Linked DNA regions of Canis lupus familiaris. The protein of the gene in region 1 interacts with the protein of each later gene in a pairwise test. Links are inferred from orthologs where the notes say so. Each region holds a gene or a part of one and is shown in the gene's direction. Other genes may lie near its edges.

Region 1 (3,562 bases):
CACTGTATGCCCCTGGACTTTGCTGAGCTCAGCAGTGCCATCCATGAGCTCTTCCCCACAGGACCCAAGAAGGTATGCTCCTCAGGGGACTCCTTGCCCTCCCACTATCCCATGCACTCAGAAATGATGATGGCCAGGAAGGTTACTTTCAGCACTCACAGCTTCGACAACCAACAGATATACCAGCGAAGCTCCTCCTTGTTGTCCTTCAATGCCACGGGTGGTGAGAAGGCCAAGATGGGTCTGGAAGCCTATGGGCGAGCCCAATCTGCCTCACCTGCCAAACCCACAGATGGCCTCTATACATACTGGAGCGCAGGGGCAGAAAACCAGTCTGTGCAGAACAGCAACAGCTTCCACAACTGGTACTCATTCAATGATGGTTCTGTGAAGACCCCAGGCCCAATTGTTATCTACCAGACTCTGGTGTATCCTAGAGCCGCCAAGGTAAGAAAGGCTCTGGGCCTGTGGGGAAGGTGGGAGGATGTGGGGTACAAAATGGAAGTGGGTAGTCAGAAAAGGTTGCACTTACCTCTTTGACCTCTAGGGTCTAGTCACTCAAGTCTGCTCCTTTGCATTCCTCAGGGTCAGCCCATTCAAAAGGGATAAGTTCCTAAAATCTTAAGTACCCCAAGATTGGCTTAAACCAAACAACATATTTAACTCATAGACAAAAATACATCCTGAAAGCCCCAACCCCATTCAAGGGCAATCCAATTGGGAACCAAAGTAATATGAAGAGACTGATTGGAGGGTGTAATATTTCCCAGGGGAAAACCTATAAGAGTAGAGAGAACACAGAAATTCAAGTTAGAAATATAGGCTGTGATTCCTCTAAATTGCTACCTTTCCTAAAGAAAGTGTCCATACTCTCGATGATTTGGAAAGAATGGAAGGATAATCCCCAGTGGAATTCCAATTCTAACCTACTGAGATTCAAATTTTGGGGGACGTGGATCTCTCACAGACCTCTATAGCTTCTATCATCTGACTTCAGGGGACACAACTCCTCCCTGACCCTCTTGGCTTAACATGGACAAATGACCCTTCCCTTGATATTCCTTTCAAATCCAGCTGAATCTACATTGAACTGTTTATAGAATGTGTTATGAAGGTTCAGGGAGGGAAACAGAATAACTTGCAATTAGATATTCTATTAGAGCTACCTTGCCTCTCTTAGGGTTCCCTACACGGACATCTTCCAGACCAGCCCTTGGCCTGCTTTTGTGTGGCAAAACCCATCTTTTGCCACCCATCTTTTGTTTTGAGAACGCTCCCAAAGATTTTTAGCATCCTTGAACTCTAACCCATTGATTCTCAAACATTAATGTGCACCTGGAAGTCTTGTTAAAATTCAGATTCTGTTTCAGTGGGCCTCAGGGGGTCCTGAGATTTTATGTTTCTAACAACCTTCCAGGTGTTGCCATTGCTGCCAGTCTGCACACCACACTTTAACATCAAGGGTCTAAAAGCAAGAAAATGAAAGCCAGACACTGACCAAGCTTTACTTTGCTGTTCTCCTGAGACATCATAATCTGTGTTTTAGAGTCTATAATTGCCAGCAAGAATGACCTACATTGCAAAGTAGAATATACCTTCCCATGGGCTATCAGACACAGCAAAGTATCTCTGCCCTTCATGTAAGAGATACCCACAACTGAGCAGCTGAACTTTCATCTCCCAATGAAACTAGATCAGCAAAGCCTAAAGTGTATGTGACATTAGCTCAGTTATGACCTTAGGTCTCTCCATGCAACTTAGATTGCTTAGGAGGTTGGCAGTTTCTTGCTCTGGAAGGGAAGGACTAGTGATATCTGCTCCATACTTGGGCTTGGAAAACAGTCACTCCATGCCACTGGCTAGTGGTCCCTGGAGGAGCCCAAGAAACAGGCCTACATAGGAAAACCTAGTCAAGCAAGACATTGTCAAAAGAGGACACCTAAAAAAAGAGAGAGAGAGAGAGAGACAGAGACAGAACACCTAAACCTACTACCAAATAGTGGTTTTTGGTGTGAAGATATCATTGATCCCTATTAGGATGATGGGATGGAATTCACATGGGAAACATAGTGCTCAGTAATGCCAAAGATTAACTTAATGTTGCTTTCTCTCACAAATGATGGTTGACAGTCCTCTTAGGCTTTTGGCATAGGAAAAATCCTTAATGTTAGTCTTATAACTTGTCAATATGTATCTTAAAAATCCTAAGGAGTTTTTTCTAAAAATTCAATTTTATTTCTAGAAATCTTTCCCAGAGAAATGATTAAAAATTCAGATAAAGATTCATGCCCCAAAAGTCTTCATTGCATCATTATTTATTAGACTATAAAATTAGAAACAACCTAAATGTTCAACTATGAAAGATTAAATCACTTATGGGACAATTATTAAAGTGGTGCTTTACTAAGTTTTTCATAATATAGGGAAATATGTAAAGTATAACAAGTGAAAGAAAAGAAGAATCAAAGCAATATAATCCAAATTATGTGTATCTCTGTATTTGTGTATGTCCCAAAATTGGAAAGAAATTAATTATTAACAGAATTTGGGGATTATAAGTGATATTTATTTTCACCCCTTATATTTTTTCTATACTTTCCAGGTCTTTTACAATGAGTATGTTAGTTTTGATAATCAGAAAAAAAAATAATTTTTACTGATGAGTTATATAAATTTATAAAAAGTTTTACAAGTATAAATATATAAAAATAACCAAAAATTATATAAATTCACAAAAATGTATGCTCTTATGAGTATTAAAAAATTAATTATATAAATGTAATAACATTTGAATTTATTAAAACTTTAAGAACACAGTAACTGCATAGAAATATAATCAGTATAAAATATTTATATCCCAGGCACAAGCTGCTAATTGACACTTGTTAAATATCTCTTTCCAAAAGTTGAAATTTTATGTTTTGAGTGTGAACATATATTCTCCATAACTTGGGTAAGTCATTTCACCTCTCTGGTATTCTACTTCCTTGTGTGTAAAAGAGAGGGTTGGAATAGATACACTTTTCATCTTGGTTGGTCTGTGGTTCTATTAGAAATTGCTAAATGTAACCTTCCTGAGCCTTAACTGTAAAATGGGATGATAAAATTTCCCTTTAAGGGAGTTGTAAAAACTAGGTGAGTAAAGGAATGTCTGACAGAGAATCTGATGCATAGAACATGTTCAATAAATGGCATCTACCTTGCTTAGTTGTGTAAGAACAGTGGTCCCGTCATTTTGGGTGATGGTAACAGAACCCAGAGGGGCATTCTTTTGTTCTTGAAATGCATCACGAGCAACATGTTAGGCCTTATCAGGCAGCCTTTCAAGGCTGTTGAACATAGTCTATGCCAAAGTCCGTAGCAGCTGGAAGAGTTGGGGTCAGCTTAAACTCACCCCACTGACAGTGACACAAATCTTTATAGGAAAGAAAGCTGAATGGTATATATTAGTATCACAGCCACATGTTCATTGCTTCATAGGTTTATTGGACATGCCCAACAGAAGATGTGGACTCTTTTGAGATGGAATTTTATGAACTCATTACTACCCCTCCTAACAATG
Region 2 (4,072 bases), on another chromosome or scaffold:
CATTCCCTGAGTTGGCTTCATTTAGAATATGATTGTCACCACCTTTCCAATCCCCCCAGAACAGCTCTTTGCGACCAAGGCCTTCACGAATTCCTAATGACAGTGCAGGCTCTCCACGGCCTTGCAACCTCGCGCGCTCACCCGCGAGTACGCCGGGGCCCCCTGTGCTCGGCTCACCCCGGGGCCCACCCAGGCCCAAGCGCGCAGAGCCGGCCCAGCAGGTCGTCGGGGGCTTGAAGGCTCCCCGCCCCCCCAGGCTGCCACGGGGACGCCCTGGACAGCAGAGGAAAGCCCCGACGCCCCAGGTGGCTGGCGCGGGGGTCGGGCGCACGCTGGCCGCCGCCCGCACGCCGGGCTCGGCCCCCTGCCAGCGCCCACGGGCACGCCCAGTGCCTTGCAAGGATGCCCGCTCCTGGGGTGCCCGCGGCCTCCTGGCCCAGTGCCCCATTTCCTCCCGGGCGCAGTGGGAGGGAGGGAGGGAGGGAGGGTGGGAGGCGCTGGGGACCTGCGGGACGACGGGCGCAGGTGGAGAGCGGAGCGGGGCGGGGTGGCACCGGGGGCCGAGGCGGCTGCTGCCCGGGCCTGGGCCCCGCGGCCCCGAGGGCCCGCTCTCGGGATCGGGGTCCCTTCGCGCTGCGGCGGAGGCGCGGCCGGCCCGGGGCGGCCGGGGAGCGCGGGGTGCGGAGGGGGCAGGGGGCTGCGGGGACCGTCGGAGCCCGCGTGACTCAGGGAGCGCGAGCCGCGCCCAGCGCGTCAGTCCTGCGCCGCTTTCCTGTCCTGGCCGGTTTCTGCCGGTTCGACTTGCGTAGGTCCCCACCCCCGCCCTCCCGACCCCGACACGCCAGCCGGTGACGCCTCGACCGCCCGCCCCGCCCCGCCCCCACGTCGCGGCGAGCCCACGCTCGTCCCCGCCCCCGCAAGCCCGACTCCTCGCTCGAGCCCCGCCCCTGCGCGCCAGCGCGTGACGCCCCTCGGCCGGCGGGCCCCGCCCCTCCGGAGCGCGGCCCCGCCCCGCCGCCGCCGCCAGCCTATCCCGCCCGCTTGCGACGTCTGACGTCATGACGCCCGCCCCGCCCGCTCCCACGGTCCCCCGCTCCGCGCCGGCGCCGCCGGCCCGGCCCCGCCCCGCCCCGCGCGCAGTCCGCAGAGCCCGCGGCCGTGACGCGAGCGTGACGCAGGCGTGACGCGAGCGCTGCCGCTCCCGAGACGCTCGCGCCGCCCCCGCCGTGCTCGGAGGCAGCGGTAGCTGGGCCCGCGTCGCCAGGCCCGGGCCCCCCCAGCTCCCCGCCGCCCGCCGCCCGCCAGGCCCGGGCCCCCGGGTCCCCGCCGCCCGCCATGGACGACTACGCGGTCCTGTCGGACGCCGAGCTGGCCGCCGTGCTGCGCCAGTACAACATCCCGCACGGGCCTGTCGTGGGTACGCGGCGGCGAGCGCGCCCCCTCCCCGCCCCCCCCCCGGGGTCCGGCCCGCGGCCCTGACGCCCCGCGTCCCGTGTCTGGCCAGGTTCCACTCGCAAGCTCTACGAAAAGAAGATCTTCGAGTACGAGACCCAGAGGCGGAGGCTGTCGCCCCCCAACTCGTCCGCCTTCAATTTCTCCTATCGGTTCTCGGGTGAGGCCCCCGCCCCGGATCTCCACCTGGCCTCCCAGGGGGACGGGGTTTGGGCGACGGGGGGCACGGGGTCCGGAGGGTGTGGCAGGGGCGGTGGCTGGGAGGGGCACAGGAAGAAGGGAGGGGAGCCGGGGGCAAATGGTCCCGCCCCCCCCCCCTCAGACTTAGATTCGGCATCCGTGGACTCGGATATGTACGATCTGCCCAAGAAAGAAGACGCCTTGCTTTACCAGAGCAAGGGTAAGGCTGGGCGGGCGGGGGGGGGGCACCCTGGGGGGGGCACCCTGTCACCCTTACCCCCTCCCTCAGGGAGCCTGGTGTTGGGGGGACCTGGGATCTCAAGCCCGTCATCCTCAGCAGCCCCAGAGGGGAGAGACGGTGCCACAGGCTCCCACGTGGGACTGAGATTAGGGCCAGGTGGGCGCAGCCACTGTGCACCTTGCTACCGCTCTCCCCCCCTTCCCAAGGCTACGGCGATGACTACTACGAGGAGAGCTACCTGAGCACCAGGACCTACGGGGACCCTGAGCCTGTGGGCTCCTCCAAGGGCTTCCGCCAGCCATCAGCTTCACTCGCAGATTCGGACACCTTTCACCACCAGGTGAGTTGGCTGCCGAGCACCTGCATACAACCTGTGGGGGTCATAGCTGGGCTTGGACAAAACCTGGACGGGGGGGGGGGGGGGGGGGGGCGCACGCGGTAGGCCCTGTGCTTCCCGAGAGGCAAGGTAAGTGCACACCTCCCTTGGCAGGGCCGTCCTTGGGGGAGTGTCAGACCTAACACTAGGGCACCTGGGACGCCGTGCACCCTGACCTGGGATCTAGGTTTGAGATCTTTCTCAGACCCCCCGGGGCAGAAAGTAAGGTGCAGGCGGCCAGGATACCTGTCGAGTTGTGGAGCGGGTGACAAAGCCCTACCGGGCTAAGGCTGGTAACTCAGGAGGGTTTTGGAGGGAACAGGGTCCGGGTGTTTCAGCTAGGCTAGTTTGCAGTGAGGACGGGACAGGCTACAGGCTGCTGACTCTGCTGGCCAGTTCCCCTCTCCCTGACTGTTACCTGCAGGTGCGCGATGACAGTCTCTTCTCTTCTGAAGAGGACAGCAAGGACAGGTGAGTGGCAGGAAGGGCCAGGCAGCGGGTGGTTCTGGGCGCAGGCCCCCTGGCTCACCTGCTGTCCTCTGCCTCAGGGAACGCTCCGGGTATGGCCGGGACAGCGCCTACCAGAACATCGTGCACTACCGCCCTGTTTCCAACATCTCCAGAAGCTCCCTGGGCCTGTCCTATTATCCCACACCCTCTTCCACCTCTCCCATATCCTCATCTTCATCTTCCCCCACTTCGTGGCTCACCCGTCGTGCTATCCGGCCAGAAAAGCAGGCCCCTGGGGCTGGTCTGGGCCAGGACCGCCAGGTCCCACTCTGGGGCCAGCTGCTCCTGTTCCTGGTCTTTGCTGCCTTCCTGCTCTTTGTTTACTACTCCATGCAGGCTGAGGATGGCAATCCCTTCTGGACGGAGCCCTGAGGGGCTGGCTTCGTGGCCAGCTGTTCCCGGAAGTCCTGGCTGACTGCCTTAGTAGTGTCTGCTGGGGGAGGGGGTGGGGGCTTTTCTGTGTGTTCTAGCTTCGGTGTGCTGGGCTTGGCCCAGGGCAGTGCTTGCTCCCCTGCCTCGTTCTGCCCAGGAGGTGGCAAGCCCAGGCCCTCCGCGGCATGGCGGGCCCGGGCAGGCCTTCCTCTGGAGTCTCCTGGTCCTGCTTGCCTCTGATCCAGGGCCCAGGAGGGTAAGACCCTTCTCCTGGAGAGGAGAACATGGTTGTTGTCATTGCATGCCTCCTGTCTGTTGTCACCTCGTCGGGGGGGATTAACCCAGGCCACCCTGACTTTGTTTTCGTGGACACAATAAAAAGACCATTTATTTTTAACGTGTGGGCTCTCTTTGCTGGGAAGGACTTGGGCTGGGAGCCTCCAGGCCTTGGGTCTCCACGAGCAACATCTGGCTTTGTTCGCTCTCCCTTCTTGCTTTGGGGTTGGGGTAGGGATCGCATGCTACCCACGGGCACGTTTGTGCTTTACTGGTAGGGTTTGCTCCCTGACTCGTGACCCAAAGCTGCTGTAACTAGGCAAAGAAGCGTGCCCCCACGGGATGCAGAGAGCTCCCCCATAAATGCAGGTGAGGGTGCGTGCACAGCACTGGCTACAGATGTTCCGACAGGGAGGAGCCGACAGCCGGCCTCAGTACCCAAGGGCAGGTGGACAGGGAGGAAATGCGGCGAGTGGCGGGCTCCTCCCGGGCGGCCGCTTGTCCGGGGGGGGGGAGAGGCCCACAGGATGCCGCATCACCCCTGTGTAAATCCCACCCCTCACCTGCCTATGTTCTTGCTTATCTCCAGGTTTTCTGTGCGGGAGGCGAGCACCTCCACCTGCAAAGTACACACGTATTATTTACTTATTCATTTATTATTTATT
Region 3 (4,090 bases), on another chromosome or scaffold:
TCTGTCATGAATAAATAAATAAAATCTTTAAAAAAAAATTCTGTTTTGCCTTCCTTGGGGTTACTCTGCTGATTCCTCAGGGTGGTTGTACTGGAGGGAGAGAGACAGGGAGCAAGTGAAAAAATTGAGCAAGACGTGAGAAGGAGAACAAACCAGGCTTCCCTGCCACTCGCTGCTGGTGCACTCAATCAGCACCTCATGGGGGGCAGAGGCAGGACGGAGCTGGGCTCCCTTTTAATCGCCCTTGTGTTTCTACATGCAGCCATCGTGGCCCTGATTCTTACACTTGGGGGCCGCCTCCTCCTCTCTTTCCTTCTTCTTCTCCCTCACTCCCTCTCTTCCCTTCTCACCCCGTCCTTCCTCCTCCACCTCTTCCTTCCTCCCCTCTCTCTGACACACCATGGAGAGAGATGTCTTGCCTCCTGCCTCCTGCCTCTGGCTCAAGACTCCCTGATGGAAGAAAATGGAAAAGTAAAACAGAAAAACCAGGCTGAACCATTGAAAAAAAAAAAAAAAAAAAACTGAAGAGGGATGGCTGGGTGGCTCTGTCAGTTAAGCGGTTGCCTTCAGCTCAGGCCAGGATCCCAGGGCCCTGGGATGGAGCCTGCTTCTCCCTCTCCTCCTGCCCCTCCCCACTGCCTACTCCCCTGTTTGTTCTCTCTTTCTCTCTCTCAAATAAATAAGTAAAATCTTAATTAAAAAAAAAAACCAACTGAAGAACAATCAGCATGTCTCTGTGAGAGGCAGCTATGACCTAAAAGAGTACAATCCTTGCCACTCTAAAACAGAAGCCCCTGGTGTCAGGGGGACCAACAAATGCTTGATCTTTCCTGCGTCTAGAAACTCTGGGGTGCTCCACAAATATTAAAAACAACTTTTGTCAGAGACTCCATCACCTCGGAGCCCGCAGGTGGGAATCACAGCCCTCTCCAATGACCCTGTCGGCAGACAGTACCCTTGGGCCCATGTACTGGCTTCCCTAAGACCGTGCATCACCTTCAACTTGCCCAGGACTATCTTCAGTGACTGTCCCAGGTCACAGCAACCTGTTTACAAACATCTAGAATTCCCAGGCACTTTTAGGACAAGGGACTCGAGATGTGTCCAAGTGGGCAGTGAAGTCTGCTCTAAGAGAAGCTGTTCCTCAGGATCTATTTATGCCCATGTAAACACTTGCCAAGGAAACAAGGCATGTGGGCATGCGCTGGCCCCGCGGGTCCTTGGGTGGCTGCAAAAGGCAACTGGACAGTCACATGTCATCACAGTGGAAAGTACATATGCAACTATTCTTAGCTCTGGAATGTATACACTGTCTCCCTGCCCAGTGCTTCTTTCCCGAAGTTCTAGAAAACTGCGAAAGCACCGTTAGCATAAACAAATCCAGAACTCTCCCAGGACAAATCATTTGCCAACTGAAGGAAAGGCCTGGGTTTATGGTTTCACTTGGAGCAGAGGTGGAAGCTCTCCGGAGGGACCAGCCGGACCAGGCATCGGTGGATGTCACTGCAGCAAACCAAGGTAAAAACCTCTAACGGTTAATTCTCCTGCAGGTAGACAACCAGGTGTCACCCAGGAAACCCTGCCCAGAGTACCGTTTGCTCTCTGCTTTCTATTTATCACATCTTTAAACAAAACCCCAAAGCCTCTATGAAGCCACGTTTTAAAAATTAAATTGCAGAGGCCCATTCTCATCCTTTAGTACCATCTAGTTACCAGAGGGCCACATCCCCAGAACGACATCCTCGGGGAATGACTAACACCCGGAGGAGGCTCACAGACTTGGGCTGCTCAGATGCACGGACGGTCCCCTTGCTTCAAGCTAACATTTCAGCCCCTGACAATCAGGTAACTTCCAAAATGTTGGTGGTTCTTTTTGTTTTTTCCCCTCAGATGATCTGAAGATGCTATTTGCCTATTACCTTTGGGAGTAATCACAACTGGGAACAAAAAACAAAACAAAGCAAAACAAAACAAAAAACAACAAAAAAAGAGGTGTCGGCTGTGAGGTCTGGGGTGTAGGTGGCTGCTCTTTCCAGTCTTCACTAAGCAACATTCTGGGTGAAATCCATAAGCATCTTGGTGGGTGGACATAGATGCACTAAGGCTGAGAGACAGCGCAGGCCAACCCTTCGGCACATGCTACCCCTTGGGACCTCCGCCCCCCCTGGCAGGATGGACGAGGAGTTGCCAGATGGGCTGCTCTTCAAAGACCATGACTTCTCCTCTGAATTGTTGAGGCAGCTCAATGGCTTCAGGCAAAACAGGATGCTGACCGATGTGAGCATCTGTACGGGGACCCAGGAGGTCCCGTGCCACCGAAGCGTCCTGGCTTCCAGCAGCCCCTACTTCAGAGCCATGTTCTGTAGCAACTTCCGGGAGAGACGTGAGGCCAAGGTCCAGCTGAAAGGCATCGAGGCCGGGACCCTGGAGCAGATCGTCTCGTATGTGTACACCGGGCAGGTGCGCATCACCGCGGACAACGTCCTGCCGTTGATGGAGGCAGCCTCCATGCTGCAGTACCCCAAGCTGCTGGAGGCCTGCTCCTCCTACCTCCAGAGCCAGCTGACCCCCAGCAACTGCCTGGGCATGATCAGACTCTCTGAAATCTTAAGTTGTGAGACCCTCAAGAAGAAAGCCCGGGAGGTGGCCCTGACGCGTTTCCCAGAGGTGGCCACGTCGGCCGACCTGAAGGAGCTCTGCGCCCTGGAACTGAGAGACTACCTGGGGGACGATGGGCTCTGTGGGGAGGAGGAAAAGGTGTTCGAGGCCCTCATGGTTTGGGTCAAGCATGACCTCCAGGCCCGGAAACGACACGTGCAGGAGCTGTTCGAGCAGGTCAGGCTTCAGTACATCCACCCGGCCTTCTTCCACCACTTCATCGCCAACGAGGCCCTCCTACAGTCCTCGCCCTCGTGCCGGACCATCCTGGAGACAGCCAAGAGGCAGATGTTTGCCTCATATGTCACCACCAGTGCCCCAGACCTCCAGCCTCCATGGCATGTCCCCCCAAGAACCTCTTATCAAGATTTCCTCATCCTCTTGGGCGGAAGGAAGGACAACCAAGAGACCACCAGGGATGTTCTGCTGTACAACAGACAGACCAACCAGTGGGAGAACCTTGCCAAACTCCCAACCCGGCTGTACAAGGCCTCAGCTGTCACCTTGCACCGCAGCATCTACGTGCTAGGAGGCATGGCTGTCGGTGCAGGGAAGAATGTGCCCAGCCACAACGTCTACATTTACTCCCTGAAGCTCAATCAGTGGAGGCTGGGGCAGCCCATGCTGGTGGCCCGCTACTCCCACAGAAGCACTGCCCATAAGAACTTCATCTTCTCCATCGGGGGGATTGGGGAAGGGCAGGAGGTCATGGGCTCCATGGAGAGATACAACAGCATCTTCAACATCTGGGAAAGTATGGCCAGCATGCCGGTGGGGGTCCTCCACCCTGCAGTCGCTGTGAAAGACCAAAGACTCTACCTTTTTGGGGGAGAGGACATCATGCAAAATCCTGTACGCCTTATCCAGGTAAATGGCTGGTCCTTCCCATCACGTAAGTGCATGAGGGTACACTCAGGCATACACACGTGTGTGTGCACACACATACACACTTATACCTGTACACACATAAATACACACATGCATACACACGTGTGTACATACATGCATACATCTATACATGCATGCATGAGTGCATATAATACACACTGTTGTTTGCAGGGAAAGCATAAAGGAGGGAGGAAAGGAAGGATGGAAGGAAGGGAGGAGAGAAGAAAGTTTGAATTCAGCAAGATTTTATCCGTTTATGAGCTCTTGTTGTGTAAGATTAATACACAATTAATCCTTTGTAAGAATACAAAGGAACGTCAGATACGATCCCTGTCCACGAAGAGTTGATTTGCTGAAGAAACTAGTGTATCTGAAAGTTAAAAAAAAAAAAAAAAAAGTTTAAGTTAGAACACATTGAGTGTCAGAGAGTGAAGTTTATAGGAATTTTGAAGATGTTTCTAACTCAAATCAGCAAAGCCTTAGAAGAAGATTCCCAAACATTGGACCAAATCCCTGGGAACCCGATCTCAGATCAGCTGAATCA

What was found.
Region 2: the proteins of TRIM42 (region 1) and EMD interact in binary tests that used the Homo sapiens proteins (3 or more experiments, as listed by UniProt). The two-hybrid records come from large-scale screens. The link is inferred for Canis lupus familiaris from reciprocal best matches to the Homo sapiens genes TRIM42 and EMD.
Region 3: the proteins of TRIM42 (region 1) and KLHL38 interact in binary tests that used the Homo sapiens proteins (3 or more experiments, as listed by UniProt). The two-hybrid records come from large-scale screens. The link is inferred for Canis lupus familiaris from reciprocal best matches to the Homo sapiens genes TRIM42 and KLHL38.

What each region holds. Positions count from the first base shown.
Region 1 is NC_049244.1:37,251,028-37,254,589, forward strand, and holds part of TRIM42 (tripartite motif-containing protein 42), read left to right. Parts: coding exon 1-447; intron 448-3,480; coding exon 3,481-3,562.
Region 2 is NC_049260.1:123,237,279-123,241,350, reverse strand, and holds EMD (emerin), read left to right. Parts: upstream 1-1,246; 5' UTR 1,247-1,335; coding exon 1,336-1,417; intron 1,418-1,504; coding exon 1,505-1,612; intron 1,613-1,774; coding exon 1,775-1,852; intron 1,853-2,079; coding exon 2,080-2,213; intron 2,214-2,646; coding exon 2,647-2,720; intron 2,721-2,797; coding exon 2,798-3,131; 3' UTR 3,132-3,528; downstream 3,529-4,072. Other genes in the region: collagen alpha-1(I) chain-like, read left to right, coding at 104-463, 526-852. UniProt on the Homo sapiens protein: Stabilizes and promotes the formation of a nuclear actin cortical network. Stimulates actin polymerization in vitro by binding and stabilizing the pointed end of growing filaments. Inhibits beta-catenin activity by preventing its accumulation in the nucleus.
Region 3 is NC_049234.1:22,348,960-22,353,049, reverse strand, and holds the start of KLHL38 (kelch-like protein 38), read left to right. Parts: upstream 1-1,246; 5' UTR 1,247-1,518; intron 1,519-1,890; 5' UTR 1,891-2,136; coding exon 2,137-3,525; intron 3,526-4,090.